4 linked regions of the Ovis aries genome follow. The main gene of each other region encodes a partner of the protein of the gene in region 2 in a complex. Links are inferred from orthologs where the notes say so. Each region holds a gene or a part of one and is shown on either strand. Other genes may lie near its edges.

The links. Proteins that work in one complex are often made in the same cells at the same time.
Region 1: the proteins of CCND1 (region 2) and CDKN1B are in contact, whole or in part, in a crystal structure (PDB 6P8F), measured with the Homo sapiens proteins. The link is inferred for Ovis aries from reciprocal best matches to the Homo sapiens genes CCND1 and CDKN1B. Residues at the interface, in NP_444284.1 of Homo sapiens: Met56, Ile59, Val60, Trp63, Glu66, Val67, Glu70, Glu92, Lys95, Lys96, Ser97, Arg98, Leu99, Gln100, Leu101, Ile126, Tyr127, Thr128, Asp129, Ser131, Arg133, Glu136, Gln139, Met140, Leu142, Leu143, Asn146, Lys147; in NP_004055.1 of Homo sapiens: Lys25, Pro26, Ser27, Ala28, Cys29, Arg30, Asn31, Leu32, Phe33, Pro35, Val36, His38, Glu39, Glu40, Leu41, Thr42, Asp44, Leu45, His48, Cys49, Met52.
Region 3: the proteins of CCND1 (region 2) and AMBRA1 are in contact, whole or in part, in a cryo-EM structure (PDB 9IVD), measured with the Homo sapiens proteins. The link is inferred for Ovis aries from reciprocal best matches to the Homo sapiens genes CCND1 and AMBRA1. Residues at the interface, in NP_444284.1 of Homo sapiens: Thr286, Pro287, Thr288, Asp289, Val290, Arg291, Val293, Asp294, Ile295; in NP_001354397.1 of Homo sapiens: Arg54, Ser55, Phe57, Val73, His75, Arg96, Thr97, Trp99, Leu116, Ala139, Arg184, Ile945, Asn1012, Asn1029.
Region 4: the proteins of CCND1 (region 2) and CDKN1A are in contact, whole or in part, in a crystal structure (PDB 6P8H), measured with the Homo sapiens proteins. The link is inferred for Ovis aries from reciprocal best matches to the Homo sapiens genes CCND1 and CDKN1A. Residues at the interface, in NP_444284.1 of Homo sapiens: Met56, Ile59, Thr62, Trp63, Glu66, Val67, Glu70, Glu92, Lys95, Lys96, Ser97, Arg98, Leu99, Gln100, Leu101, Ile126, Tyr127, Thr128, Asp129, Ser131, Arg133, Glu136, Gln139, Met140, Leu142, Leu143, Asn146, Lys147; in NP_000380.1 of Homo sapiens: Ser15, Lys16, Ala17, Cys18, Arg19, Arg20, Leu21, Phe22, Gly23, Pro24, Val25, Ser27, Gln29, Leu30, Asp33, Cys34, Asp35, Leu37, Met38, Cys41.

What each region holds. Positions count from the first base shown.
Region 1 is NC_056056.1:202,778,483-202,785,951, reverse strand, and holds the start of CDKN1B (cyclin-dependent kinase inhibitor 1B), read left to right. Parts: upstream 1-2,901; 5' UTR 2,902-3,437; coding exon 3,438-3,912; intron 3,913-4,466; coding exon 4,467-4,588; 3' UTR 4,589-4,596; intron 4,597-6,737; 3' UTR 6,738-7,469. UniProt on the Homo sapiens protein: Important regulator of cell cycle progression. Inhibits the kinase activity of CDK2 bound to cyclin A, but has little inhibitory activity on CDK2 bound to SPDYA. Involved in G1 arrest. Potent inhibitor of cyclin E- and cyclin A-CDK2 complexes.
Region 2 is NC_056074.1:43,279,266-43,286,963, forward strand, and holds the start of CCND1 (G1/S-specific cyclin-D1), read left to right. Parts: upstream 1-2,859; 5' UTR 2,860-3,019; coding exon 3,020-3,217; intron 3,218-4,803; coding exon 4,804-5,019; intron 5,020-5,525; coding exon 5,526-5,685; intron 5,686-7,698. UniProt on the Homo sapiens protein: Regulatory component of the cyclin D1-CDK4 (DC) complex that phosphorylates and inhibits members of the retinoblastoma (RB) protein family including RB1 and regulates the cell-cycle during G(1)/S transition.
Region 3 is NC_056068.1:75,485,096-75,492,685, reverse strand, and holds the start of AMBRA1 (activating molecule in BECN1-regulated autophagy protein 1), read left to right. Parts: upstream 1-3,022; 5' UTR 3,023-3,229; intron 3,230-3,389; exon of another isoform or gene 3,390-3,785; intron 3,786-7,590. UniProt on the Homo sapiens protein: Substrate-recognition component of a DCX (DDB1-CUL4-X-box) E3 ubiquitin-protein ligase complex involved in cell cycle control and autophagy.
Region 4 is NC_056073.1:10,677,922-10,685,264, forward strand, and holds CDKN1A (cyclin-dependent kinase inhibitor 1), read left to right. Parts: upstream 1-3,154; coding exon 3,155-3,590; coding exon of another isoform or gene 3,591-3,787; exon of another isoform or gene 3,788-5,025; coding exon 5,026-5,075; downstream 5,076-7,343. UniProt on the Homo sapiens protein: Plays an important role in controlling cell cycle progression and DNA damage-induced G2 arrest. Involved in p53/TP53 mediated inhibition of cellular proliferation in response to DNA damage.

The DNA of each region.
Region 1 (7,469 bases), on a different chromosome or scaffold from region 2:
TCGTCTCTCTCCCAAGCTGTTAAAGGACACACACAAATCTTGGGTGGCTTATGGGCCACTTCTCAGCTCTAAGGAGAAAACTATCAAGAGGGAAACTGACAACAAAAACATCACCCAGGACGAGATTCTGGGTCTTGGGGGCAGCCGAGCCCCCTTTTTCAGAGCAGCGCGAGTGTAACTTTCTGTCTTCTCCCCAGGCTCCGCCTTTAGGCTGTTTATTGGAAATTCTCCCGGCTCAGTCTCTTAAAGCCGCCGCCTACTTTCCACAGGAGGATGGCGCTCACAGCTCCGGGTTCTCTTCCCTCGGGGACTCTGTCGTATTTTTTTTTCACGCTTCATCGCTACTACAGCAGACGCCTGCCCTCTCACTATTTGCCCCGCAGTTCTCCGGTGCCTTGACTGTAAACAAAACACTTTAGATCATAGCAAGGTCGGAGTAAGCACAGCCTTTCTGCTGGCAGCCAGACGTCTTAAGGTGGCGTCACTGTGACTCGTTTGGTTTTCAAGATTAACAAAGCGACAAAATGGTGGTCCTACATACTAGTTAAAGAAATATTCAGGGTGCGTAGGGGATGAAAATATCCATTTTTTACTTTTCTGGAAGATATTAATTCCACGAATAAAATCAAACATCTGTGGCAAGGTGTAATACTCTAGAATGTCTCCATTTACATAGATGTGGTAGTTGTGTACTTATGCATCTGAATTTATGTTCATATAGAATACAGAATTTTGGTGTAGTCCAACAACTGTGTAAAGATTTCAACAACAATAATCTATAATTTCAGGAGTAGGGTATTGAGACCTACCCTAATTTTTCTGTCCCTCTTCTCCATCTTCTCCAGTTCAGTAAATTAAGTGGGGGCATTCGACCTAAAAAATAAAGAAGATGAGACCTTTTACTTAGATGCCAGATGAAATATTTTCTCTCCATCAGGTAGGAAGTCTGGCCTTTGAAAGCACTGTCTCTCTCACTGCTCTCTGGGTCTCACCCTGCCCCTTTGGAATCTGCATTTTAGTCATATTAAGTGCAAGGTCATACCAAAGGCCAGTGACAGTCCTATTTAAATATCAGGGACCACAGGCCACATCAAGGAAACAGCTGCAAGCAGCCCAGAGCATGAGAAGGAGCCATTTTGAATCATTTATAGGAGAGGAGGACCTGCAGACTATAGATAGGAGAATCACTCTGGGTAATAACCCAGAGAAACCTCTCTTGAGTCTCAGTTTCCTCAATGGTTAAAAGAGAAGGTTGAACCACAGGGTTTCCAAGGTTCCTCCTAACTCCTACATTCTGGAATGTCTGAAGCAAGGAAGGCACACAAAGTGGGCAAATACTATGTGGGTTAAGAAAACAAGTTAAATGTCAAACTCACCTGTAGCATAGATGCCTAAGAAAACTGTTGTGCACAATTGCTGTTGGGCACTGTTAGAACCGGAGATTACTTTCCAGTAAAATGTGTAACTTTGATCCAGAACAAAAGAAGGATAGGGAGGGCAGTTAAAGACCCTTTGTTTCAGATATAACAGCCTGTCCATCCTGTTTTAACTTCCATCACCTTGCTCAGGAGCACAGTTAGGTAAATGTCAAGTTGCAAAGGGGAGCAGAGAAATGCCGAAATACTGGGTTGACCAAAAAGCTCGTTTGGGCTTTTCCGTAGGATCGCCTGGAAAACTCCGAACGAACTTTCTGACCAACCGAACAATCTCAGACGTGAGGACACGGTTGTGGTTGCTTTAGAAATCACTTCGCAATCCGGACTTTCCGATTCCTTTCACTCTTAGAAGATCCGCCGCCCTTTAAAAGCGTCAGTCACTTGCATCTGAATGGTGTTCTGGGTGGGTTCCAAGAAGTTGAGTCTGGTGGGAGAGAAGGGTGGAGGAAGGAAGAAGCTGTTGTGTTTGGCGGCTGGACTCAGGTAGAGGAAACTGCTACAACCCGGCAAAGAATTGAAAAATACAAAGAGGAGACGAGTTCCCACACGCAGCCCACGTCAGTGAACTGTACTTGGGAGGCAAGAACCTGGGCCAGGGATCTAACCTCGCTTTTTTTTTTTTAAACTAAATGTGTCTGAGACAGCTACAAAGTTTATTAGGGACTTGGGAGATCAGTTGACTTTTTGATCTTGCAATCCTTTCTTATTTTTTATTGAGAGAAACCTTGGGTTCAGAATACATAATAAAGACTGCATCTATTCCAGGGTAATTTACAGAAAGACGTCCTCCTAGGCTTCTCACCTAAGCCCCTAACCTCCCCTAGAAATAGCAGACTTCTAGGTTAAGGCTGAACTAACCACTGCTCACCTCCAGCTTAAGGCACCCAGGCCGAGGGGCTCCCCGCCTCCCCCGCCATGTGAGCGATTGGGGGCCCCCGGGGGGGAGCCCAGCTAGGGGGCCGAGCTCCCACCCTGCGTCCCCCCATCCCCCGCTCGGTGAGTGCAGCGCAAACAAGATCGCCAGCCAAGGGTACCACCACCGGCGGCCGAGCACCTTGGAACTCTCCCCCGCTTTCCCGGGCGAGGAGCCGGGGAGGTCGGGGCTCCGGAGCAGTGGCGCGCGGGTCCGCGCAGCGCCCGGGATCAGAACACCCGCCGGCCGGCCCCGCTGCCCAGGCCCCTCCCCGGCTCCCCGGCCGTTTGGCGAGCTCGTTTGTCTTATTTGTAATTTCTCCTAGGCCAGCCGGAGCAGGTCTGCTGGCAAGCCGTGCGCCTCCCGCAGTCACGCGACCAGCCCCGGGTCCCGGCCGCGCGCTCGGCGGCGGCGGCGGCGCGCTCGGGAGGCGGGGAGGCGCGGCGGGGCCACCTTAAGGCCGAGCTCGCCAGCCTCGGCGGGGCGGCTCCCGGCGCCGCGACCAATGATCTCCTCCTCTGTTTAAATAGACTCGCGGTGTCAATCATCTTCTCCTTCGTCAGCCTCCCTTCCACCGCCATATTGGGCAACTCCAAAAAGGGGGCTCGTCTTTTCGGGGGTGTTTTTTTTCCTTCCTCCCCGCTTTCCTCTGGGCTCACTCTCTCGCCGCTCCGCGACTCCGCGACGCCCGCAAGGTTTGGAGACGGCGCTCGGGCGGCGGGACCCGCGGGCTCGCGGCGGCCCGGACTCGGAGCGGCTCTGCCCCCTCCTGTCTCGGCGGCGCTCGGCTCCCCTCCCCTCCGCTCCCCGCCCTCCCGCTTGATCGGCCGGGATCGGGGCTGCCTGGCCCCGGGGGGCTGCCCCTCGCCCCCTCCCCCAGCCCCGTGCGCGCCTAGACGCTCGGGCGCTGACTCGGCTCGCGTTTGTTTCTCTTGGCTCCAGGGGCCGGCGCAGGGCTTATAAAGAGGGGCTCGGGCTGGGTCGGGGCGTTTTGTTTTGTTCGGTTTTGTTTGGCGAGAGAGAGAGAGCGCGCGCAAGAGCCTCAGTCGCCGAGACCCCCCACCCCCACCCCACCCCCTGGGAGGAAGATGTCAAACGTGCGAGTGTCTAACGGGAGCCCGAGCCTGGAGCGGATGGACGCCAGACAGGCGGAGTACCCCAAGCCCTCGGCTTGCAGAAACCTCTTTGGCCCGGTCAATCACGAAGAGTTAACCCGGGACTTGGAGAAGCATTGCAGAGACATGGAAGAGGCCAGCCAGCGCAAGTGGAATTTTGATTTTCAGAATCACAAGCCCCTGGAGGGCAAGTACGAGTGGCAGGAGGTAGAAAAGGGCAACCTGCCCGAGTTCTACTACAGACCCCCGCGGCCACCCAAAGGCGCCTGCAAGGTGCCGGCGCAGGAAGGCCAGGATGCCAGCGGGGCCCGCCCGGCGGTGCCTTTACTTGGGTCTCAGGCAAACCCAGAGGACACGCATTTGGTCGATCAGAAGACTGATGCCCCGGACAGCCAGACCGGGTTAGCGGAGCAGTGCCCCGGGATAAGGAAGCGACCTGCCGCAGATGGTAATGACCCTTTCCGATGCCTAAAATGTCTGTCTCTGTCTGCCGCGCTCCTTTCCCTGCTTGAGGGTCTTTAACCGCAGCTTTCTTTTCAGCGCGTTCTGACTTAGCTTTTGGGGCGGAGGTGGGGGGAGCGCACTTTCCTACTTTGAGGTACATGAGTACATGCTATTTATTTAGTTGCCTGCTTGTCTGTTTATGACTTTTAAGTCAGAAGCTTGAGATTGTGTTATCTGATCATTTCTCTAACTGAAAACATCGCGGCTCCTCCCAGCTAGACAGCGGTAGGTATGTGACAATGTTGGGATGTTTATCAACTGCCTCCTTCTTCGCTTTGGAGAGAGAGCTTTGAAGCGTAGAAAATACACTTTCTGTTATGTGAAAACAACTTCATTTTGTGCCCTTAAAGGCCACTGGGAATGACGGACCCAAGATTGTGGGTGGAGGTAGTGGGTTTTTTGTCCCTTGACTCTTGGGCTCACTTCTGTCGGCCATTGTTTTTTTCTAATAAAGATTGTTTGTGTGTGTTCTTTTTAAAAATTCCCTCTTGCCCTTAGATTCCTCTCCTCAAAACAAAAGAGCCAACAGAACAGAAGAAAATGTTTCAGACGGTTCCCCCAACGCCGGTTCAGTGGAGCAGACGCCCAAGAAGCCTGGCCTCAGAAGGCGTCAGACGTAAACCACTCGGTGGGTTGATGACTTGGAGCAAATAAGTGACACCCCAGTTGGGTTGCAGGAACTGGTGGGCTTTCAAGCCCCAAGATAACCCGATCTCAGTGGGGGCTGGCCGATGAAAACTTGGGGGCTTTTGTTTTATGCTTTGGGAGGACAAAAAGGTAGGAATGGGGAAGACTGGGAATCAGTGGGGAGGTACTATAGTTCTTCCCAGTTTTCACCTCCTGAGATTATTTTCCTTTGAAGCACCAACTGATCAGAGCAAGTGTCCCAGGCAAGTTCTTGTAACCAAGGCTCCGTGAGTAGGAAGGTCAGTTCCCTGAAGGTGCCATCAAAACATGTCCAGAACAATAGGTTCTTTTTCCATCTGACCAAGAGCAGGGGTCTGCCTCCATCCCACTTCATGAGAATTCATCTCCCAGAGGACCATGTTGACTCAGTAACAGATTTTGAGCTCTACATGGGCAAAAATGGCAAATAAATGATTTAATTAAAACTTCGAGGGAAAAGTGAGGCACTTTTCCTCACTGAAAAAGTGGTTCATATCTGGATAATCAAATATTTATAAATGTGACAGAAATATATGACTTGCTTTTGTCTTTATCATTTTCATATGCTCTCACACTCTCTGGCTTCTGATAAGTTTGGAGGATGGAGAAGGAACCTGTGTGTTTAAAAAAAGTAAAACTGAAATGGAAGGCTCAAAAATACTAAGGTTCCTGCGGAATTTCTGATAACACTGAAGTTGCAAAGCAGAAGTGACTCTGCCAGAGTAAGCAATCCAGGAACACGTCAGCATGCGTATGCTAATCATGCTATAACAGGAGAAGCTGGGTGCTTGTAGAGGAAATGGAGAGTAGTTATCGGGGTTGGCAGGGGTAGGTGTACCCCCAACATTAGAAGTGGAGATTTTTGCCGTTTACTAAAATACGATCAATATGAAAAGCTAATTTGAATAATCAGCCCCCAGCTTTACATGGATTGGTCTTAAGGATCAAACTACACATATTCATAGTTTGTAAACTTATAATAACTATGTCCTTCTTTCTCTCTCCACTCTCACTAGCCTAGCATATAAAGAGATCCTAAGAAATGTTTACACTAACTTTTAAAATCCTCATTTGTAAAAATTTTAAAGAAGGATGAAGGTGAGGTTCAAGTTTGTTGTGTTTTTAAATCAGTGTCATATATAGGACTTGGCTACATATATGTGATATTTTTCAGAGCTTATATAAAACAGTGCTATGAAACCTCTACATCACAGCTTATATATATGAAGTAGGTAAATTGGATGAAAATGATTTCTGAAGTAACCCTAACACCTGCGGCTCTTGGTTTGTGACTTGTGGCGTAAGTCGTCAGATGAGCAAATCAGACCTGTTGAATTTTGATCTGGCTCCATTCTCACCTACCGAGAAGCACTTGTTAGTAAATATTGCCAGTTCAGAGAATACAGGAAATCGTAGTAAGGACCTATTCATAAGCATTCGTGTGTATATTTCTACATATGACTAAGACTAGAAGATTTTGAGAAAAAAAAAAAGTGAATAGAATTTTCTTTGGAGAGCCTTTATAAATATCATTGCCAATTATTTTTCAGACAGAAAATTCTGCTGCTCTTAAGTGTTATTGGTTTCTGAATTTTCCCATGTCTGTTCTTTCTCAGTATCTTTGACCCCAATTCTCTAGACCAGGGTTCCTCAACCTCTGCACTGCTGACATTTGGGGCCGAATAATTCTTTGTTGAGGGAGGCTGTCCCGGGCATTGTAGAATGTTCTGGCAGCATCCCTGATCTCTTGAAGCACATGTCAGTAGAAACCTCTCCAGTCATACCCAGTGTGACAACCAAAAATGTCTCCAGCCATTGCCAAATGTCCCCCTGGGGGTGGGAGGGTGGCGAGGGCAGGCAGCAAAATTACCCTCTGTTGAATACCGCTGTTCTAGACAAAAGCCTATAGCACAGGGGAGAGTGAAAAGCCAGTGAGAGAAATGTTGGATGGAGATGACTCTAGTCACCAGCTTTTAGTATGTTCGTTCTTTCCCGTTGCTCAGGTATTTCCCAGCTAAAACTAACAAAATAATTCCGGTAATATATTGGCAATGTTTTTTTAGTGCCTTTTCTTCTAATTCTTTCTCCTTGTTTCTTTTGCAGAACTAAGAGTATGTTTCCTTGTTTATCAGATACATCACTGCTTGATGAAGCAAGGAAGATATAAATTAAAAATTTGGAATACATATCGCTGACTCCAAGAACGGACATCCTTTACAAGCACTGAACAGCAACAGACTTAACACTAAAGTTTTAGGCACTCTTAAATCATCTGCCTCTAAAAGCGTTGGATGTAGCATTGTGCAATTAGGTTTTTCCTTATTTGCTTCATTGTACTACCTGTGTATATAGTTTTTACTTTTTATGTAGCACATAAACTTTGGGGAAGGGAGGGCTGGGGGGTACTGAGGAATTGGCATGGGGTGGGTATTAAGAGCTTGCTTCGATTTAGAGCAAGGACAAAAATATTTGACTTGCATGAAGAGAAGCAGTTTGGGGGAAGGGTTTGAATTATTTTCTTTAAAGATGTAATGTCCCTTTCAATGAAAACGGATACTTCATTTAAAAAATCACCCAAATTTGAACACTGGCTGCAGATAATTGCTATTTATTTTTACATGAAGTTTTTTTTCTCATTTGGGAGCTCTGATGATTCCGTTATATGGTAGCAAATGGCTTTTTTTTTAAAAACAACAACAACAACAAAAAGCTCAGTGCTCCCCACTAGTCTCCCTTACAATTGGAATTTACCCAGTATTCATCAGTCTGGTAATCACTCCAGGTACCTCTGGGCACTCTGGCATGTATGTGGGGAGTGTTCTGAATGCACAGAAT
Region 2 (7,698 bases):
CAATCCTCTCTGGGGAGGGCGGGGGCCGGAGTTCTACGGCAGGGGGAAGGTCTCCGCTGGGCCCTGCACCCCCTCCCCAGAGCCCCCCGGCCCGGCGGCGCGCAGCCGCGGTGCGTCCGGGAGTCGGCGCCGCGGCGCGCTGGCTCCTGAATGAACGCGCTCCCTTCCCCCGCCGTGAATGAAGGTTCCCACAGCCAGGGACGGTGGCAAAGGCGCCCGCCGCGGAATTGGCCCTCTCGGGGCCGGCGTCCCTCTCGGCTTGCGGTCACTTCGGCGAGGGAACAGGGGGCGAGGAAAGCGAAAAGGTGATCTAAGTGACTTTTGCATTTTCTTCCCAGCCAACTTGGTTTCCCGTTGAGCCACTGGCCCTTTGTTTCAAAGGGTCACCAAGAAATAGCACAGAGCACTGTAAATGAGCCCAGAACTTGTAGTTCCTGCTTCGTGGTGGGTTTTATCAAGGCCGTGCAAAATTAAACCTTAAGCAGTGAAGTTTTTAAAAGTTGCTTTTCTTTCTCAAAAAAAATAAAATAAAACGCGCCCCCTGCTCTCCTATAAGCAGCCTTTATTAAAGGCCCGAAGCTGTTGCCGCCACCCCCACCCCCACCGCGGTTCTCCAAGGAACGCGGATCTGGGCTCCCTGGGGTGGGGGCTGGGCGGCGGGCTCTCCCCACCAGGCGCCAAATTCCAGCGCCTCCCCCCCGCGGGTTCCTGGACGGCTCTTCACGCTCGGCAGCCGGGCTTGCACTTTTGCGCCCGTCCCTGAGCGGGGAAATCAACGAAGTTCCTAGTCTAGATCTGCCCGGCCCGCCTAGTAACAGCGCCGCGCCCCCATTGGCTCATGCTAATTCCAGTTTCCTCCGTCTTTCTCCGGGGTTAGGGGGAAGCTCCCTCTTGGACCTGGAGTCCGTCCCGCCGGAGTGGGCGATCCTCGTTACGACCAGCTGCCCCTCCCCGTGGCGACTCTGCCTCGGGCCCGGGTCCGGGCACACGCGGGGCTCGGGCCCCTTCGCCTCCCGCCCTCCGGGACAGAAGCAACCCGGTGGTAGCGCGCAACCCCATAAATCATCCCGGCGGCCGCCGGGTCGGGATTTTATGAATGAAAAGCAACCCAGCCGCCCTCGTGCACGGGCTGATGCTCCGAGGCTCCCGCGTGCCGGGGGCCAACGCGAGCCTGGGTGCCCAGGGAGGGAGACACGGCGGTGGGCGCTCCCTTGTCGGGCCATCCGCTCCTCCCGAGGCGTGAGCCCAGGGTAATTACCCTCCTGGACCCGGAATATTAGTAATTCTGATTCTCTGCGGGGGAGGGGCGCGGGAAGAATCAGCTCTGAAAAGTGAGGGGGTCTTGTCCTGTTGTGTGCGCCCTTGCGAAGGGGAGGGGGGCTTTTTAATCCGTTTTCTTTGAGCCTTTAACGTTAGGGTATCAGATGGTTTGATGACACTAGACTATATTCAGAGGGAAGTTAATGAACAGTGTTCTTAATTTGGGGCAGGTAGAGTAAAAACTTTAAAAAAATGTTAAGACTGGGTAAGATGTCCTTTTATTTTAAAAATAAGCACCAAAGAGACTGAATCTTTTCAGTCTCTGAAACTATATTCTTTTATATTCTTATAAGTTTGCGATTAATATTGGGGACTCGCGTATAGCCACGAATATATATAGGTTTTGTTTAAAATCATCAGATCAATACACCTATTTCTTTAACTTGTAATTGTTCTGATTGTTGCCAGACCCCCGCCAACCGCCTCAGGCTCTCGAATGCAGCCCCCGGGCAAATTCTAAAGGTGAAGAGAGGTCCACACCCCCAACAAAGCCAATTAGGAAGTTTCCGGTGGTCTTCTCCCAGGCGGGGAGGCGACCAATATTTCCAGCGATTTAGCTTAATTTTTAATTAAAAAAACGAGACAGGACAGAGACCACTGTTTTGCAGCCTTCCTTTCAGAGTGTTTTTCTAGCTGTTAAATTGCCGGCACAGGGCGGGGGCGGGGGGGAAGTGTTGGGGGCCCCCCGCAAGAATGGACTAGCTAAGGTAGGAAGACAGTGCGCAGATCCCCCAGGCGAAGAGGACAGGGCGAAGGAAATGCTGGCCACCATCTTGGGCTGCTGCTGGAATTTTCGGGCATTTATTTTATTTTATTTTTTGAGCGAGCGCGTGTTAGGCTGAAAGCCCTTTAACTTTGGGGGTTACCCCTCCGGCATTTGCACAGACCCCCCTCGGTGCGGGAATGAAACCTCCACCGGGGTTGTCGGCTCTGCCCTGAGTCCCTGAATGGTAAATGGTTCCTGAAATTTACACGTGTTAATGAAAATGAAAGAAGACGTAGACGCTAAGATCCCTTGGCTGCCTCCGCCCGTGGGTGCCCTCGTGGCGTTCTCGGAAATGCGCCCATTCTCCCGGCTCAGAGTGTCACCGAACCCCAGCGTCCCCCTCCACACGGTCTCCCCCAGCTGCGTGTGGCCTGCCCGCCCTCCTAGTTGTCCCCCTCTGCAGAGCCACCGTCACCCAACCCCCCAAATCCTGCGGGACCCGCTCGGGGAGGACAGACCCCCCCCCCAACCCCCGCTCCTGCACCCCTCTTCCTCGGCGGGGAGAAAGGCAGCCTTAGGACGGTTTGCATTTCTATGAAAACCCGGCTTCGGGGGCAACACCGCGCGGTGCAGGCGCGGCGCCTCCGGGATGGCTTTTGGGCTCTGCCCCTCGCCGCTCCCCGACGCTCGGCGCCCGCGCCCCCTCCCCCTGCGCCCGGCCCCCCTCCTTCCCGCTCCCATTCTCTGCCCGGCTTTGATCTCTGCTTAACAACAGTAACGTCACACGGACTACAGGGGAGTTTTGTTGGAAGTTGCAAAGTCCTAGAGCCTCCAGAGGGCTGTCGGCGCAGTAGCAGCGAGCAGCAGCGTCCGCGCGCTCCGGCGAGGGGCAGACGAGCTCGAGGGAGCGCGGGGCAGCAGGAGCCCGAGTCGAGAGCCGACCCAGCCCCGGACCCATCGCCGCCCCCCGGCCACCTAGCCGAGCCCCCAACCATGGCACACCAGCTCCTGTGCTGCGAGATGGAAACCATTCGCCGGGCGTACCCCGATGCCAACCTCCTCAACGACCGAGTGCTGCGGGCCATGCTCAAGGCGGAGGAGACCTGCGCGCCCTCGGTGTCCTACTTCAAGTGTGTGCAGAAGGAGATCCTGCCGTCCATGCGGAAGATCGTGGCCACCTGGATGCTGGAGGTGCGGGGCTCCGGGCGGCTCTCTTAGCACTTTCCTGCGACTTGTTGCGCAAACCCACTTTTCTTTGCCACTCATCACCCTCCCTTCTCTCCCACCCAAACTTTGAAGTTTGCCAGAGTGTTGCTAGGAATCGTAGTTCCAAAATATATAGATATTCAGGGTATTTTTTTGAACAAGGAGGGAGTGGGGGTGGGGTCATTAGATAATTCCTTTCGTGGGTGGGTGGGGGCGGCGGCGGTCGAGGAGGGGTACCCTAGGGGAAAGCCACTGCCCGGGCACCCCAGTTGGCTTCAGGGTGCGGGCCCGCAGGCTGGGCGTCCTTTGTGGCCCCCGCCGGGACCTCCACCGCGCAGCCCCGCTGCGCCTCCTCTTGCGGCCGCGCGGCTGCTGAGCCGCCAGCTCCAGGGGGAGGGGGCATAGATTTGATTTTTAAATTAATATCCATGGACACGTATGCAAGGGCCGCTCGTGCCAGTATTATGCGCCATCTTTGTTCTTTTATTGCAAAGCAAAAGTGTTTATTAATAATTGGGGGCAGGGTGGGGGCGGGGAGCGGCCGGCCAGGCGCTTGGGGCCGCCGCGAGGGGCCGCGCCGCCACCGGGACCCAGCGGGAGGGGCGCGGGGACAGAGCTCGGGTAGTTGTGGGGGGACCCCTCTCGGGAAAGGGGGCCCCTTTGTTCAAGCAGTGGGTCCCGGGGCGTCCCGCAAGGCCAGCTTGGGCCAGAGAGCACGCCGGGCTGCAAGGTCGCGTGGCCCCCAAGACGCTAGGAATGGACCCTCATCTGCCGGGATCTCAGCTTGGGGGACCTGTCTGGAGCGAGCTGGGGGCCAGGGGCACGTTTTCAGGCCTTCAGAGGGCTCCCCGGGGCACCGCAAGTATTTTAAAATAATTTTTGAAAGTGCGGCGTGGTGCCCTTGCGAGAAGGAAACGGCGCCCGCGCCCAGGGGGAAGGGGGGCCCCCGAGTTTGAATTCCTGGGGCTCTCCCCTGAGCCCGCAACGAGCTCCCGACTCCCGGCCTGGGTAAAGGACAGTCTGAGGGTCATTTTCAGGGCATTTTTATGTACCCACTTAATTTTTTTATATTTTTAAATATTTTTTGAAAAGATGACGTCTGGGGAAATGCGGCGCGGCGGCCTGGGACGCCACCTTTGTGTCTCGCAGGCGCTGCGAGCGCGGCGCCCAGCCCCGCGGCCCTCCCCGCGGCCCTGCGCCCCATTTTTTGCCGACCCCAGGTCTGGCGGCTCCCGAAGCACCCACGCGGGCCGGGGTCCCTGGGACCCACAGCCCGCGCGCGACACACGCCGCCCAGCTGTGCCCGCTCCCGCCCCCACTGTGCCAGCCTAGCTGGGACTTTCCCTTTCAGTTTCGGGGTGGGTGAGTATTGGGGACTCCCGGGGAAGAGGGGCGCGGCGGCGGCGGCTTCTGCTGCCCCTTGCCCCGACCCTCCGCGCGCTCAGAGACCTCGCAGTCCAGCCGCCCTGGCGCGAGCCGGGTCGGGGGGCGCGAGGTCTCCGCAGAGGGGCCGGGCGCTCCCGGCGGCGGCGGCGGCGGCGGCGGTCACGGCCCCCGGTGCCCCCCGGCAGGTCTGCGAGGAGCAGAAGTGCGAGGAGGAGGTCTTCCCGCTGGCCATGAACTACCTGGACCGCTTCCTGTCGCTGGAGCCCGTGAAAAAGAGCCGCCTGCAGCTGCTGGGGGCCACCTGCATGTTCGTGGCCTCGAAGATGAAGGAGACCATCCCCCTGACGGCCGAGAAGCTGTGCGTCTACACTGACAACTCCATCCGGCCCGACGAGCTGCTGGTAACCCTGGGACCCCCGCCACGGCCCCTGAACGCCCAGTTAGCCGCGGGACCCCGGGGTGGGGGAGGCGCGGGGGTCCCCGGCGGGCCGCCGAGAGACCCTCGCCCCCAAGGAAGGCGGCCGCACGGGCGGGGCCCCGCGCCGCCCCGCAGCCGCGCCGCCGCCCCCCTCGCTTTCCCTCTGACTCCCACCACCTCTGCGCCCCCAGCGTTGCGAAAAGTGGGGGGCGCGCGCCCTCCAGCGGCGGCGGCGGGGCGGCGCCCGCGCGGTTGACCCGGCTCCGCGTTCCAGGTGTGGGCGGGCCCCTGGTCTCCGCCGGCCCAGGGTGGGCTGAGTTTAGGGTAGGACCCTTGGCGAGCAGCACCGTCCCTGCACGGAATGTGGGGTCGCGCGCTCTCCCCCTCACTTCCCGGACCCTCCAGCGACCCCCATCCCCTCTCTCCGACCCCTGCTCCACTGGGGTCCGCGCCTGCGCCTCTCGACACGCGTTTCCCCCGGGTCCGCAGCACATGGAGCTGGTCCTGGTGAACAAACTCAAGTGGAACCTGGCGGCCATGACCCCGCACGACTTCATCGAGCACTTCCTCTCCAAAATGCCGGTGGCCGAGGAGAACAAGCAGATCATCCGCAAACACGCGCAGACCTTCGTTGCCCTCTGTGCCACAGGTAGGGTGCTGGTCCCCGCCGCTGGTGCCCGGGAGGAGCTGCTTGGCCCATGCCTCGGTTTTCCGCGTCGGGGGAGATGCGGGAACATCTTCCCCGGGCCCCTCCCGTTCTTGGAAGCGCTCCTCTGTCCCCCGTTCTGGGGAGCAGAGAGGGCTGGGCTGCTTTTAAGGGCTCCAGGGAGGGGGGCGTTGCCTCCTGGGCGGGGGCAGCAGAGGCTGGTCTGTTACCACCCAGTGCCTGGGGGCCGCGGGGGCGGGTGGCCAGCCTGCCTGTGTCCAGCTGCTGTAGCTCCTGCTCCCCGCTGCAGGCAGGGGTCACTCTGTGCTGAAAGGGGTCTACCTTGGCCGTCCAGCCCCCACCGTCCCCCTCCCCACCCGTTCCTCCCATGTCCTCAAGGAGCCTGAGCTGCCGGGGCCCCCTCCTGGCTTCTCCCCGGCTGGGCCACCTGCCAGGGGCGCCTCAGGGGTGGGGAGCGCCGGCCGGCAGCGCCTGGACCACGTGCTCTGGGCCGCAGGCCGCGGCCCTCGCGCGGGGGCGGCCAGCAGAGGCGCTTGGCTGCCTGAGGCCCCGCCAGGGGCTCCGGCTCCGCTCCCTGCTCTCCCTGGGAGCGATTTCAGAGCGCCTGGGCTCAGGCCGCTGCGGTTGGCAGCAGGAACACCCCCCCACAACTCCCCTGGCACCGCTCTGGACCATCCCTGGGGGACCCTCCCTGGCAGGGCCCTCTCCCCAGCCCCCAGGCGGCCAGTCAGTCAGAACCCAGGGAGACACAGGGGCCGCCTCCTGCTTCTCCCAGCCCTGCCTCCTGAGCCCTGTGACCCCTTCCTCCCACTGATCCCATGCTCTGGGCCCAGGACCCCTGGGGACCCTGACCAGGGACCCATGCCCCATCCTGCCCAGCTCTTCTGCGGGCCGTCTCTCCCCCTCACCAGGCCTCAGCAGTCAGACCTATTGGGGGCTCCCTCTGGGCGACCTGAGGACCACGCTCCACCAAAGAGGACTTGACATCTTTCACCTCTTCCCCAGAAGGGGTGGGGTCACCCACCCACCATCTGATGTCACCCTCCCCATGTCCAGGGGTTCTAGTGGCTGAGGTTTCCAGGTTAGGGGAGGTGGAGAGATTGTGCTGCCCCATTTTCCTGCCTGCTCAAGGCATGAGCCCCTCTAAGAAGGACCCCTCAGAAGTCGTCCTGCCAAGTGAGCCACGGGGTGGGGGCAGACGAGAGGCCAAGAGCATCTCAGTTTGGATGGATCTGAGGGGTGAGGGTGCCCCCTCCCCTGGCTCTCCTGCCCCGCAGCACCCGCCCTTGGGCAGGGATGGTGTGGGGGGGGGCTCTCACACGTGTCTCCCCGGCCTCCAGGGGCCAGCCCGGCAAGCGGGTAGGGAGGCATTCTCTGGCTGGGATGCCTCCGAGAAGAGAAGCCTCCAGAGATTTGCAGGCAGCCTTTTATGGAGCTGAGAGTGGTTCAGAGAAACGACCAAGTTTCCCGCAGATAATGCAAGGAACGGTTCCTGCACGCGCTCCCCCGAGGATGGCTGGGACAGCCCGGAACACCCCCGCCCCTACTCCAGGGACCCCTGGGAAGTGGGGTGTGTGGCCTGGGAGGGGGTGCAGACAGCGCAGAACCTGGGCACAGAGGCCGTGCCCGCGCTCTGGCAGTTGTCTGAGAACCAGCCCAGCCAGCGCCCCTGGCCTGGAGTTACAGATACCTGCACACACATGGGGTGAAAGGCGGGGGATGGCCCGGGGTGACTCAGCATTTCATCTGCAGCAGCACTGGGGGGGCCGGGGAGCAGCACCCCCCAAAGCGGGTCCTGAGCTGTTGAACTTGAGTGGCACAGCTGTGTGCTTGAGTCACAAGCCGAGGTGGGGGTGTTTTCTTGAGGTGAGAAGGGCATGTTACAGCCTCAAACAGGTTTTGTGAAGTGGAGGCATGAGTACGTGCCCCAGCCCTCCACATGGCAGGGGTCCCTTTTGAAAGGTGCTAGGGAGGGGGGCGGGTGTCTGCTCTTCC
Region 3 (7,590 bases), on a different chromosome or scaffold from region 2:
GATGATGCTGTGAAAGTGCTGCACTCAATATGCCAGCAAATTTGGAAAACTCAGCAGTGGCCACAGGACTGGAAAAGGTCAGTTTTCATTCCAATCCCAAAGAAGGGCAATGCCAAAGAATGCTCAAACTACCGCACAACTGCACTCATCTCACATGCTAGTAAAGTAGTGCTCAAAATTCTCCAAGGCAGGCTTCAGCAATACATGAACCGTGAACTTCCTGATGTTCAAGCTGGTTTTAGAAAAGGCAGAGGAACCAGAGATCAAATCACCAACATCCGCTGGATCATGGAAAAAGCAAGAGAGTTCCAGAGAAACATCTATTTCTGCTTTATTGACTATGCCAAAGCCTTTGACAGTGTGGATCACAAGAAACTGTGGGAAATTCTGAAAGAGATGGGAATACCAGACCACCTAACCTGCCTCTTGAGAAATCTGTATGCAGGCCAGGAAGCAACAGTTAGAACTGGACATGGAACAACAGACTGGTTCCAAATAGGAAAAGGAGTACGTCAAGGCTGTATATTGTCACCCTGCTTATTTCACTTATATGCAGAGTACATCATGAGAAACGCTGGACTGGAAGAAACACAAGCTGGAATCAAGATTCCCGGGAGAAATATCAATCACCTCAGATATGCAGATGACACCACCCTTATGGCAGAAAGTGAAGAGGAGCTAAAAGCCTCTTGATGAAAGTAAAAGAGGAGAGTGAAAAAGTTGGCTTAAAGCTCAACATTCAGAAAACGAAGATCATGGCATCTGGTCCCATCACTTCATGGCAAATAGATGGGGAAACAGTGGAAACAGTGTCAGACTTTATTTTTGGGGGCTCCAAAATCACTGCAGATGGTGACTACAGCCATGAAATTCAAAGACACTTCCTCCTTGGAAGAAAAGTTATGACCAACCTAGATAGCATATTCAAAAGCAGAGACATTACTTTGCCGACTAAGGTCCGTCTAGTCAAAGCTATGGTTTTTCCAGTAGTCATGTATGGATGTGAGAGTTGGACTGTGAAGAAGGCTGAGTGCCGAAGAATTGATGCTTTTGAACTGTGGTGTTGAAGAAGACTCTTGAGAGTCCCTTGGACTGCAAGGAGATCCAACCAGTCCATTCTGAAGGAGATCAGCCCTGGGATTTCTCTGGAAGGAATTATGCTAGAGTTGAAACTCCCGTACTTTGGCCACCTCATGCAAAGAGTTGAGTCATTGGAGAAGACTCTGATGCTGGGAGGGATTGCGGGCAGGAGGAGAAGGGGATGACCGAGGATGAGATGGCTGGATGGCATCACTGACTCAATGGATGCCACTCTGAGTGAACTCCGGGAGTTGATGATGGACAGGGAGGCCTGGCGTGCTGCGATTCATGGGGTCGCAAAGAGTCGGACACAACTGAGCGACTGAACTGAACTGATTATAGGATATATCCAAGGACTTCATGGGAATATAAATAAATTAAAACTTTTTGTTTTGGAAGATGATCACGTTCTTTTGTTTTCAGTTCAGTTCCAGGCCTCCCTGTCCATCACCAACTCCCGGAGTTCACTCAGATTCACACCCATCGAGTCAGTGATGCCATCCAGCCATCTCATCCTCGGTCGTCCCCTTCTCTTCCTGCCCCCAATCCCTCCCAGCATCAGAGTCTTCTCCAATGAGTCAACTCTTCGCATGAGGTGGCCAAAGTACTGGAGTTTCAGCTTCAGCATCATTCCTTCCAAAGAAATCCCAGGGTTGATCTCCTTCAGAATGGACTGGTTGGATCTCCTTGCAGTCCAAGGGACTCTCAAGAGTCTTCTTCAACACCACAGTTCAAAAGCATCAATTCTTCGGCGCTCAGCCTTCTTCGCAGTCCAACTCTCACATCCATATATGACTACTGGAAAAACCATAGCCTTGACTAGACGGGCCTTAGTTGGCAAAGTAATGTCTCTGCTTTTGAATATGCTATCTAGGTTGATCACAACTTTTCTTCCAAGGAGGAAGTGTCTTTGAATTTCATGGCTGTAGTCACCGTCTGCAGTGATTTTGGAGCCCCCCAAAATAAAGTCTGACACAGTTTCTACTGTTTCCCCATCTATTTCCCATGAAGTGATGGGATCGGATGCCATGATCTTCGTTTTCTGAATGTTGAGCTTTAAGCCAACTTTTTCACTCTCCTCTTTCACTTTTATCAAGAGGCTTTTAGTTCCTCTTCGCTTTCTGCCATAAGGGTTGTGTCATCTGCATATCTGAGGTGATTGATATTTTCCCGGCAATCTTGATTCCAGCTTGTGGGTAAGATAAACTATTATTGCTCACAGTTGGTAATCCATACTGTGATGATCTATATGATTTATTAAATTATGCTTGGAATGAACATATTACCATATTTGTGCTGACCATGTTAGTCTGTCTACTAAGAGAGTTCAAAAAAACGCCATAGTTGCGACGATAACACTTTGTTGAATTTAGAACCCAAAGAGACTATTGGTTATTATGTATTATTAAGAAGCACGCCTGTGGTTTTAGGTCTTTGCAATAAAATAAAAGCAGTATGTGTATTATATTTCCTGCCGTAAGATCAGACTACACAACCCTGAACGTTCCCAGCTTTTCTCAGCTATGCTTATGGGAGCTAACTGGAGCTTGAATAGAGATGATTTGTTCCTCAGCCTGGATTCTCTCTGTGCCTGTTGGCTCAGGTGGGATAAATACTGTTGAGAGTCCATAAGGTAGTCGCTGAATTACAGTTAAGTAACAAAGCGTTATCATACTATGACTTGCTCTTCAACATTCTCAAGAGAAATTCCGGTTCTCTAAACGAGTTAGCCCGCACTCGACACAGAAAATGGCAGAAGCCTAGTCTACTCCGACTCCATGGCTTATGATCTGGGTTCGTTTATTTACGCCTTGGACAGGAGCCGGACCGGGAGTTGGAGCGAAGCTGCTTCTCGACGCTCGACTGCGGTTCCCTGAACGATTGCTTGGGCGCTCCTCCTTTGAGGTCTGGGGCGTTCGTCTATTCGGTGATCTCCTGCGCCGTCTTCTCGCTTGATGTCTCCCGAGCGGCGGCGGCGGCGGCGGCGGCGCCGGGTCGAAGGCTGTCTCGTCCGCGAGGCCCCCGCGCTCAGGCTGCTTTCTCCCGCCGGTCGGCGGAGCGGACCCCTCGCTTCCTTCTTGCCTCTCCTTCTAGTGCGCGGCTCAGTCCACCCGTTGGGCTGCAAACCGAGCCCCCGCCCGCCTCGCAGGTAGGCCCAGGAGGAGCCTGGGAGGCCCCGGCCCGGCATCCTTCCGCTGCCGGGTTCGGAAGACCTTGGCGCCGGCGGGTGGGTGGGCGGGAGGGCCGGTCGGCCGCGGAGACTCGGGCAGAGGAGGAGCTACACGGCGGCGGCGTTCGGGGGCGCGGTCGGAGAGGCGGCGGGCAGCGGAGGGAGAAGCCGGAAGGAAGGAGGGATGCTGGTTTTGCCGCCTGGAGTGGCCCGGGAGGGAGGGTTCGTTGGGTCCGGGGAGGGTGTCGGTACCCCCAGTGTTTGGGGGAAGCCGCTTTCCAGGAACGGATAGAGCTTTGCGCGCTTTGGCCTCCCGACCCCCAAAGGCTCCGGGTGTCACGACTCAGTTGTACTGGGGGACACTCTCCAAGTCCGGCCTTCGAAGGGACCCTTGACTAGGTGGAGGCTTGAGGCCGCAGGGCCCTCCGGTTCCTCTGAGCCAAGTGTCACGTTCTCGCCTTTTTTGGGGTAGGGAAACTGAGGTTCATCTGGGACGTGACTTTCCCCGTATCCAGCACAGATCTTTAAATGCACCGTGAGTTCATTTTTTCGTTGTTTACCAGTTCAGTGTGTCCCTCCCGCCCCCCCCCCCCATACTTAACCCGTCATTTTATCCACATAGTGATTTGTCGTTTGATCGTCTCTCTAGTCCCTCCTTCCGAGGAATATAGGTAAATTCCGTCCCTGGAGACTTCAGAAGTAAAGGGAACACGCAGTCTTGCGGCTGCTTTTGCTTTGAAAGTCTGTATCATTTTAGCGGGAGGAGTCATGACAATTTCTTTTTGTTTCTTGATATAAAATTTTGTTTGCTGTCTGGTTTACTTTCGCGTTGATACTTTCTGTCTCCTTCCTCAGCCTGTTTCTCACTGGAAGTCTTTCAACTGTGGTGTTAAGTACTTAATGTCCTGAAGAGGATGGTCAAGATTTTGAAGTCAGATATTTGTCCTGAGAGACTGCTTTCTAGGAAGAATCCAAATAAAACCTAAGGAGTCGCTTTTGTGCCGGTGTTGTGTATTGCATTAGTGACTTAGTTACTGCATATACTAGAGTTTAAAAGGCTATGTGTAGAAATCATTCAAATATTGACATATTTAAATCGAAAGTTTAAATATGGGAACTCCATTATCTTTTCCTTTTCTCTCCTAGCCCGGAAACTTTGGAGACTAAATGTTCTTCCTCGTTTTATTTTCATTGGATTTAGTGGCATGATTCTAATTTGTGTAATTTCTTTGTTGAAAAAAATAATCAACCTAGAGGTCATTCTAGGTTGAATAAGTATTTCCATAGTACAAATTTAGAATCAGTAGGAGTTGGGTTTTCTTAAGGGAGAAGAGACTAAATTTGTAGTCCTTGGAGTGAGACTGTACAAGTCTATGTACTTTAACAAATTTAGACTTCTCACATGACTTTTGGAAGGATTATTGTTTTTTCCTTGTATTATCATTATCATCATCATTTTAGTGAGGTCAGCAGGATTTAAATGTAGGGCCCTTGATCTTGAGTGATTTCCTAATTGCCAGATCCTGAGTGCTCCCTGGAATAGATTAATGAAGAGTCACTAGACTGTCTTTATGGAGAATCTATATTGGGAAGTTAGGCTAATGTGTGTTCTCTGAAAAAGTTTCTATGACAGAAGAGAATTTAATATCAGAGAAAAGAATTTAGAGGGCTTCCCCAGTTCGATCCCTGATCTGGGAAGAACGTCTGGAGAAGTAAATGGCAAACCACTCCCATACTCTTGCCTGGGAAATCCCATGGACTGAGGAGCCTGGTAGGCTACAGTCTATGGGGTTGCAAAAGAGACACAATTTGCTGAACAATGACAATGAAGAATTTAGAGAAGGGAGGGACATATTCCCCTGGAGATTGATAGGTTCTGCATAGAATTTAGAGTTAGTGGCTCCTGATGAATGCTAAATAAGAAATGAAATTCGCTGTAAGTGTCAGGAAGAAATTTTGGGGTATTTTGTTATGCTTCCATGGAAAATAATTAGCAGAGGTTTAAGTTGAGTTGAAGAGGACCAGGAATTTGGTTGTCGTGGAAAGGGGTAGAGCTTCTTATCAGCTTCCCCCCCTGCTTTGTGGTAGACGTTCACTCAACCTTTACCTTTCTCGGTTAAATCTTGTGTTCTGCTAATGTCAGGTCAAGCTCTCTTCTGGCCTTTCTTTTCAGAATTTACAAATTCCGAATGTGGCTGAATTATTCTGTCTTCTCTTTTAGTAAGAAAGTTCTTGGGGATTGTTAAAGATGTGAACTTCTTTGAATGTCTTTTAGAACTTATCCTGAAAGAAGTTATGTATACCACTTGAAAAAGACTAGTTATATATATATCACTTGAAAGCAGTTGGTTATTTTTATTAACAGAATAATAGCTTAGTTTTATACTGTATAATTTTCAAAATATTTTCAAGTTGTGTTAGGTTACTTATGAAACTTTTATCCTTTTGATCACACTCCTTTATGCTGCTTATTAATACTGAATCCAAAACAAACATTTATGGTCTTCAAGGACCTTCATGAATGTTGACAATTTACATTGGTGGTTTAATCTCACTCTTCTCATTTATCTAACTCTTAAAAGACTTGGAAGAAACAGTTTGTTGTTCGTACACTGCGTTCTCTTTTTTAAAGATACTTCTCAGCCCTGATCAAGTTATTTTGGAATGGGATGCAAATCTTTTTGCCCAGTGGTTTGGTTTACCAAAAAAAAAAAAAAACCTAAGGTTTTTTAAGTTCCTTTAATCATAGTCATGCTTGTTTCTTTCTCCAATTGTTCCTCATAAACCCAGAGAGAACTTTCTGTTTCTTGTCATATTTTTTTGTTTGTACGGAAGTGCTGTGGTACCACCTCTGCTGCGGCTTGGGGATATAATTGATGTTTTGTATTTTCAAACCCCTCCTTCCCCCAAGTTAATTAGATCAGGTTTTTTGGGTCCCTTTTTCTCAAAGCTAAAATTAGTTACTGATAGATAAAAATTTTGTGATCAGTTATTGTCAATATATTTATGTGTCAGTAGTATGCGGCAGTGGAGAAGGAAATGGCAGCCCACTCCAGTGTTCTTGCCTGGAGAATCCCAGGGACGGGGGAGCCGGGTGGGCTGCCGTCTTTGGGGTCGCACAGAGTCGGACACGACTGAAGCGACTTAGCAGCAGCAGCAGCAGTATGCGGCAGTCTGCCAAAGCAATGTGGCTGGAAGAAAACAGATTAAGGAATCAGGCGGCCTGGGTTTAAGTCCTGGGTTTACCATGTTGCTAGCTGAGAAATCTTGTACAGACTATTTAAGGAGGCCATAGGGAAGGTTACTTTCCTTTATTGAGCATTACTGTGTCGTGTTCTTTGCAAGTGTTAATCTCGTTTAATGCTCAGAACAGTCCTTGAAGGTACATGTTATTTTCCCCATGGATACTCAGATCACAGAGAAGTAGATGATATGTTCCAGATCACACAGCACATGTGTAGCAGAGGCAGGACTCAAATTCAAGGCTTTGAGCGCTTTTATGTGTCTGTATTGAAAGAATGGGAAAGATAATGCTGCTATTGTAATAACTTCTGTTGATAAAAAGAAGATACACGAAGCTGCTTTGAAAAGATAAGGTGCTCTTCCAATGTTAACTTCTGTGCAGTCTTGCAGCAACAGTGACTTGATGTCGTCTGGGTTCTCAGTCCCCTTGCTTCTTTGAAGGCAGCATTGTGCCTGACAGTCATGGAAAATAGAAGCAACAAACATTAAGTGCCCTGGAGAAGCTTACTAATGTGTTTGTGTCAACGAACATGTCCTTGGAAGTGCGAGGGAGAGAAGTTTTAGGTGCTGCCTGTGACTGCCTCTATTCCAGTTAGTCCTGGCTTGTTTGTGGATGAGTGTAGTCTCTTCTGGCTTGTTCTCTGTCTCTTCCTTTGCTCTTCGGGTTGATAATCTTCACTTCTTCACCTAAACTTTCTCCTTTCTTCACTGAGCATTGTTGTGGTACTGTGTTTTTGTCCTGAGGTATGAAATACTCCAGTCAGATCTTTTGGATCTCTTTCTTGATTGCACCTGTATGTGTTTTTTTTTTTTTTTGCACCTGTATGTTTCAAGCCTTACCTTTTCAGACTTTTATTCATCTAACAAATAATTATGGAAGGCTCATTAGATGCTGGGATACAAAAGTAAGACAGGAGTGTTCCTGACCTGATGGAATTAATTTGAATGGGGAGCAGAATTGACCAGGTATCTGATAAGGATTGAAATTTAGGCTGTGCTGTAAAGGAAACAGACAAGGGCTGAGGGGGAGAGAGAGATGAAGGCATGAGGAATGCATTAGGCGTTTGTGGGAGTTGACAGTAAGTCCCCTAAAAAGT
Region 4 (7,343 bases), on a different chromosome or scaffold from region 2:
CGTTGCGTTTCGGGGAGGACTTAAGAGCGGTTTTGTTTTCGTTGCTCCCGTCTATTTTTATTTTTCAGGGATCTGACTCATCCCTTGCTTTGGGCGTGGAGATAAGGTGGAGGGACCAGATCTCGGCGCGCTTGTTGCGTGCGTGCTGTGTGTGTATGTGTGTGTGTGTGTGCGCGTGTATGTACGCGCGTGCGCGCGTGTGTTTCACAAGAGGCGGCGCGAGAGCGCGCTGTTTCCCAATAGTGGCGGGCGTTTCGGAAGCCTGACTGGCTCAGCATGACGTGTTCGCGGCCCCCGATCCCCCTCCCACTCCCCCTCCCCACCCCAGGGTGACGTGCAGCGGGAGTGGAAGCGAAGTTTTGGCGGGCGGGTAGCGCTTTGCAGGAAACTGACTCATCACAGCTCGCTGCCGGCCTCCCAAGCTCTGCCCACGCAGCTCCCCCTCCGCGCGTGATTTCCTGGAGACCGGCGCCCTCTTCTGGCCACATCGCTAATAGCTAACCCGCCTTCCCGCGGAATGAGTCTTCACCAGCCTTTGATTCCCAATGTAATCTACTCTGGTACTGATGCTGAGTCTTTGCCCACTCCTCTCTTAAAAATAGTGCCCCCATTGGATCTGCAGTGTTTACTGAGTGCTTACTGATTATTTGGGAATGAAAATATGGTTGAAGTCCAAGGCATGATAAAACCCTAGCAGGGTTCCTCCTCTTGCCAGTGAAGCCCTGAGATCTGTAGTGTCTGTTCAAGCCCTTCTGTGTGTCCCTTCTTGGCTGGCACCCCAAGCATGCCCATCTGGAGAACTGTCAAGCCCTTGAATTTAATCATGTGGGGAAGAAGGGGCCTGTCAAATCTACATTTTGAAAAAGCTCCTCAAGTGGTAAGGAGCCTCTCTCTTGGTGAGGAAATCTCAGAATTAGGGAGTAGGGTTCAACACCAGCATGCAGAACACAGGGCATTCGGGGCTGGGTTCAAATCCTGACTGTGCCACTGGTGAGCTGTGTGACCTTGGGAAACTTACTTAATTTCTCTGAGCCTTGGTTACCTCTTCCGTAAAAGAGCTGATATAGCCATTTCTTCTGAAAATTAATATCCATAAACTTTTTTACAACAGCCCTTGGCTCATAAAATGTGTAAATAAGTCTCAGTCCTTATCCCTGAAGAGAGTGAGCAAAGGTTATTTATGGGCTTTGTCCACTGTGCTGTGTAACCCCTCTCTCTATGTGGTATGTGGCAGCTTGAGTAGACGCTATTGATCTTTTTAACCGTGTGGGTTCAGGGCAAGTCTTAAAACTCCTGCCCTTTAAACTCGGTCAGAGGTCATCTAGTGCCCTCCCCTCCCCTGTGTGCTGAGACTTGGAGCTGTGGGCTTCACTCACTGTGAGAGGTGGAGTGGGGACAGGTAGGTATGGTGTGGGTCCAGGGCTGCTTGCCCCAGGAGGACCCTCAGCAGGGCTTTCACCTTCAGAGCCTGCAAATCAGGACGTGTCCCCAGGAAAACCCAGTCCCTGTTAAAGTCATGCAGGTGCTCAGACCTGGAGTCAAGCCAGAGCCGGGCAGGGAGGTGCCAGCACCCCCTCATGGGCAGGCTCACCTTCAGTGTTCCCTCTCCTTTAGTTTTCCCTCTCCCACTTTAGTGGGAGGAGAGGAGCCAGGTAGACCGGTGCCTTTAATTTTCTTTGCCTGCAAAACGGGTTCCTTGGATGCAGGCAGAATGGGGCAGGGGCTTCCAGGTTGTCTAGACTTCAGGTCACCTGATGTACCTGGCAGGATGTGGCTCAGCCTGGGAGAAATCATTGCTCTGCCCTGCCCTGCCTGGCTCCTCCTTACCCGCAGGCTGCCTGCCTGATGACATCCTTGGGAAAGGCCCTCAGCCCACAACACCTGTCAGCTGCTGTCTGAAGGAGGCGGTGGCCCAGGTGGAGTGATGGGGAGGAGTCAGCCAGAACTAAAGGCAGAGAGAAATAATATTCTCCAAACACTTTCTCTGTACTTGGTACGGCTCAGAGGGCGTTATCTACAACCGCTTAGCGAATTCTCACATCTGGCCTCTGAGACAGTCGCTGTTGTTATCTCCTTCTAGAAATGACACCAGAAATAGATGTCCCTTTCATCATAGGCGACTGGAATGTAAAAGTAGGAACTCAGGAGGTACCTGGAGTTACAGGCAAGTTTAGCCTTGGAGTACAAAGTGAAGCAGGGCAAATGGAGTTTTGCCAAGGGAACGCACTAGTTACAGCAAACACCCTCGTCCAACATACACAAGAGACAACTCTACACATGGAAATCTCCATCTTATACAGGAGGAAAACAGAACCCAGAGAAGTTAAGCCACTTGTCGAAGGTTGCCCAGCAGAGCCTGGATTCCAACCCAAGTGGCCTGGTTCCAAAGCCCTCACCTTGAACCACCAAGATACAGCCGTTGAACTCTGCTCCATCTGCCTTGCCTGGCGGGGCCCGCCAATCATTTCCTTGAGCCTGCGTCTACAGCCCCACTCTTTAGACATGTATGCAGTCCCATTTTACAGATGAGGAAACTGAGGCCGGGGGACTTGAAGTGACTCTTTGAAAGTTGAGGTAGGAAGTGGCAGAGCGAGGACTAGAACCCAGGTGCTTTTAACCCCAAAATCCAGAGTAGTTTTAAGTCACTGAGCAGGATTACTCCACATGAGCATCTAGATGGAGGGATTTGAGAGGAGGCATCCATTTTCTTGGGAATTGACCTCCCCGGCCAGGCCTGGAGTTAGGAAACTGCTGGACTCTGACAATTCACACATACCTGGGGGCATTCACACCCATGAGGGACACCTCAGTGGGAAAAACAAATTGATTTTAGCTGATAACACCCAGTGGTAAACAGGACCCTGATCCCTGCTATTGCAATAAACTTGCCTTTGTTGACATAAACTTGCCCTTCAGCTGCCCACTCCCCCAGTGACCTGGGGGTGTCAGGCTGACTGACTCTGCCCCTCACACCCTTTCTGTGGGTGGAGGTTGGGAGAGCCTGTGGGAGGAACCCGAGAGCCCCTCTCACCTCACTTTCTAGTAAGGAGACTGCGCCTGAGGTTACGCAGTGGCATGGCCCAGAGAGGGAGCGTCCGACTTCCTGAGTGTCTCACGTGCCCCGGGTCTTCCTTGTGTTCCAGCCACAGGTGCCATGTCTGAGCCGTCCAGGGACGCGCATCAGATCCCCCGCAGCAGCAAGGCCTGCCGCTGCCTCTTTGGTCCAGTGGACAGCGAGCAGCTGCGCCAGGACTGCGACGCCCTCATGGCCAGCTGCGTGCAGGAGGCCCGAGAGCGATGGAACTTCGACTTTGTCACCGAGACGCCCCTGGAGGGGGACTTTGCCTGGGAGCGTGTGAGGGGCCTCGGCCTGCCCAAGCTCTACCTGCCCGTGGGGCCCCGAGACGATGTGGGAGGGGGCAAGCGGCCGAGCCCCTCATCCGCCCTGCTGCAGGGCACGTCTCAGGAGGACCACTTGGACCTGTCGCTGTCCTGCACCCTCGTGACTCGCTCCCCTGAGCGGCCCGAGGGGACCCCTGGTGGGCCTGGTCCCTCCCAGGGCCGGAAACGGCGCCAGACCAGCATGACAGGTGAGGACGGGAGCAGAGGTGGCGGCAAGGGATTAGGACTCCCAGAACTCACTGTGCCAGGGCTGACCTGTCTGGCCCAGCTTACTCATCGCTCTGAGGGGTGGGAAACAGGCCCAGAGAGGGGAAGTGGCTTGCCTGAGGTCACACAGCAAGTCTACTACCAAGACCAATTAGCTGACATTTATTTGGAACATTGACTATGTGCCAGGACCTTTGATAAGTGTCTAGATTTCTTTTAGTCCTTATAGTGATCTAATATCATAGGACATTCTTGGCATCCTTTTACAGGCAAAGGAACAGGACTCTGAGAGGTAGAATGGTTTGCCTTAGGTCCCACACTGAATTTACCATGGAGAGTAAATGAATGATAATTTCCTGGCTGCCTTATCCAAACCTAACTCGCCTTCCCCTTCATACATACACACCTTCACCTGCACTTCCTAGCCTATTTTTCTCTTTTTGGCACTTTTTAAACTATCAACAGCTACTTCCATATTTTGATATAGTCCATCTTCCCAAATAGAATCCTATCATCTCCACAAGAAAGAAATCTGTATCTCTCTTGTTCATAATTGAGTCCTCAGCACCTTGGATGGTGTGTGACACATAGTAGGTGCTTGAGGGAAATGGAATAAGTGAGGCTGGCAGTTGAACACTATGCCAGGCCTTCAGCCAACGTCTTTTTATTTTTTACTTTACAAATGTATTACTGTTATTATTTTGGCTGTACGGCTTGTGGGATCTTAATTCCCTGAGCAAGGACAGAACCCAGGCCACCTCTGTTGAGCGCAAGGAGTCTTAGCCACTGGACCACCAGGGAAGTCCCCACCAAGGTCTTTCCGGAAACATTTCATTTAATCCTCTGAGCATCGTACCAGCGTTATCCTCATTTTATAGGTGAGGAAATGGAAGCTTGGAGCAGTGCAGCCAAGAATCCCACAGCACATTTGCAGCTGGGTCAAAACTAACAATAATGATAATAATAATAACTAACCTTTATATGGCTCAGACATCATGCAGAACGCTCTCTGATATATCAGGCTCTGCAAAGAAGCAGATGCCCAGTACCGCTGGCCACATATCACTGCTGAGTGTTTGCCATGAGGAACTAAATTTTTCTATTAGTCTAATGCTAGTTAATTTAAACAGCCGCCTAGGGTTAGCGACCACTGCATTTGGGCAGCTTGGCTTAAAGCAGGCCCATGCATGTAAAGTCTGTTATTGATCACGTCTGTGAAGCGTGGGGGGATGTCCTGTATGTATGTAGCCCTCCGGGAGAGAGGCTAGAAGTTTCCAGAGTTCTTCCCTATACTTGGCAATGTGTCTCTCGGGCCCTGGGGAGGGGTCCCTGGCCCCTCTGCAGGTTGCACTGCGCAGGTGGCTCTGCTGGGCCCTCTTCCTCCTGACCTGGCTGACATCTGTTCTCTCCCCCCAGATTTCTACCACTCCAAACGCAGGCTGATCTGCTCCAAGAGGAAGCCCTAACCCCGCTGCTGGAAGCACGTCCTCGTGGAAACAGGGGCCCACTGCAGGCCTCTTCTGTACCTTTTGCCTTGGTCCTTCAGTTTGTGCGTCTTAATTATTATTTGTGTTTTAATTTAAACGCCTCCTCTTGTACATACCCTGCTTGCTGCCACCCTTCCCACACCCCCAGCCTCTGGAATTATTTAAAAAAGAAAAAAATTAGCAGAAAAAATAGGCTTATTAGATTGCTAGGTATTTTTATTATATGAACCGTTATTTAAACCCTCCTCATTCTTTGCTCGGAGAAGGCAATGGCACCCCACTCCAGCACTCTTGCCTGGAAAATCCCATGGGCGGAGCAGCCTGGTAGGCTGCAGTCCATGGGGTCGCTAAGAGCTGGACACGACTGAGCAACTTCACTTTCACTTTTCACTTTCATGCATTGGAGAAGGAAATGGCAACCCACTCCAGTGTTCTTGCCTGGAAAATCCCATGGGCGGAGCAGCCTGGTAGGCTGCAGTCCATGGGGTCGCTAAGAGCTGGACACGACTGAGCAACTTCACTTTCACTTTTCACTTTCATGCATTGGAGAAGGAAATGGCAACCCACTCCAGTGTTCTTGCCTGGGGAATCCCAGGGACGGGGGAGCCTGGTGGGCTGCCATCTATGGGGTCACACAGAGTCGGACACGACTGAAGTGACTTAGCAGCAGCAGCAGCATCCTTTGCTTTCCTCGTCCTCGCTCCTCTGAGGCTGGCGTGACCCCCATCCTCTGGGTGGCACTCTCTGGAGGGGCCTGGTTCCCTCCCCCCTGCCATCTGATGGGTGTTACGAAGTCTCGCCCCCTCTTTCCTGCATTCTCAGACCTGAATTCCTTACAATCTGAGAAGTAAATAGATAGCACTTTGAAGGGGGCCCAACAGAGTTGGAGGCATCATCAAAACTTTGGGTTCCCCTTGCCCCTCTAAGGTTGGGCAGGGTGACCCTGAAGTGGGCACAGCCTGGAAATGGGGCTGCGGGATTGGACACCCTTCTGGCCCTTGATTCCCACCTCCGTCCTGTGAAGGCATGGGGAAGGTAGGGGCCCGTAGCAAACCACCCCTGCCTCCCACCCCCCCACCCCCATCCTCAGGGGAGCCAATCTCAGTGTTTGGCTTCCCTGTCCCCTGCATTTTTCCAGGAGCCCCAGAGGCCCCTGTTTCCCAGCCAGGCTCTCAGTCCCTCTCTGCTCCTCTCCCTTCCTCCATGCCCTTTCCCTTTAGTATCTTCTCAGCCCTGGGTGGCAGCTCTGAGGGGGTGCCCTAACCCCCAACTCAGTGGACTGGTGGAGGAAAGGACATGCTAGACATAGGGTTCCCCAGTTCTACCTCAAGCAGCGACTGCCCCCTGCTCTTAGCTCTTGGGGTGGGGGGTCCTGGGTGGTCAGGCAGGCCTCCTTGAATGGGGATCTCTCTGTGTTAGGGGTAGGTGGGTGAGGAGCAGATTTTTCCAGGAGGGACAGTGTGACACCAGCCCCTGGAACTCGTCCAAGGACTTTTTCCATTGGCCCCACCCCTTCCCCCATTTCATTGCACTTTGAATAACAGCTGAAGGAGTCAGATGGCGGGAACAGAGGCTGTGGATAGGATATGCTAAGTGGGCAAATATGGGTCTGGGAGCTGTGAGTCATTGTCTTTCCTGGCGCGGAACCTCTTGGTGGGCCTGAGCCCAGATGCCTTCCAGCTCCTGTAGCATCCTGGCCTGGACTGTTTTCTCCTGGCTCCCATACGTCCTGTTTCTTCTGTCTCCACCTAGACTGGAAGCCCCTCAAGGGCAGGGAGTAAGTCCTGTACTGCTCTGTGTGCTTCAAAGCCCCGCCCACAGTGCTGAGTATACAGCAGGTGCTCAATAAATACTCCTGATGACTTTACTCATAATATTAGTGTTGTGGTTGATATACCTTACTATTTATAAGAACAAGTAGGTGGAGGTTTTTTAAATTAAATATGCACTTAATAAAAAAGCAAAATAGTTTAGCAAAAGAAAGACCAAGACCACAAAACAAAAAGCAGACAATAACAAAACAATAAGTCATCACACCTCTACAGATTGCCACTGTTGGGTTCTTGTGTGTGGTTTTTTAAAAAGTAAAGAATACATTGTGACTCATCAGAAAAAAATGCAAATTAAAATCACAAATAAGATACCAGTACACATCTACCAGAATGACTAACATGAAAAAGACTGACAATGTCAAGTGTTGGTGAGGATACAGAGCAACTGGAACTCATACCTCCTGGTGGAAGCATG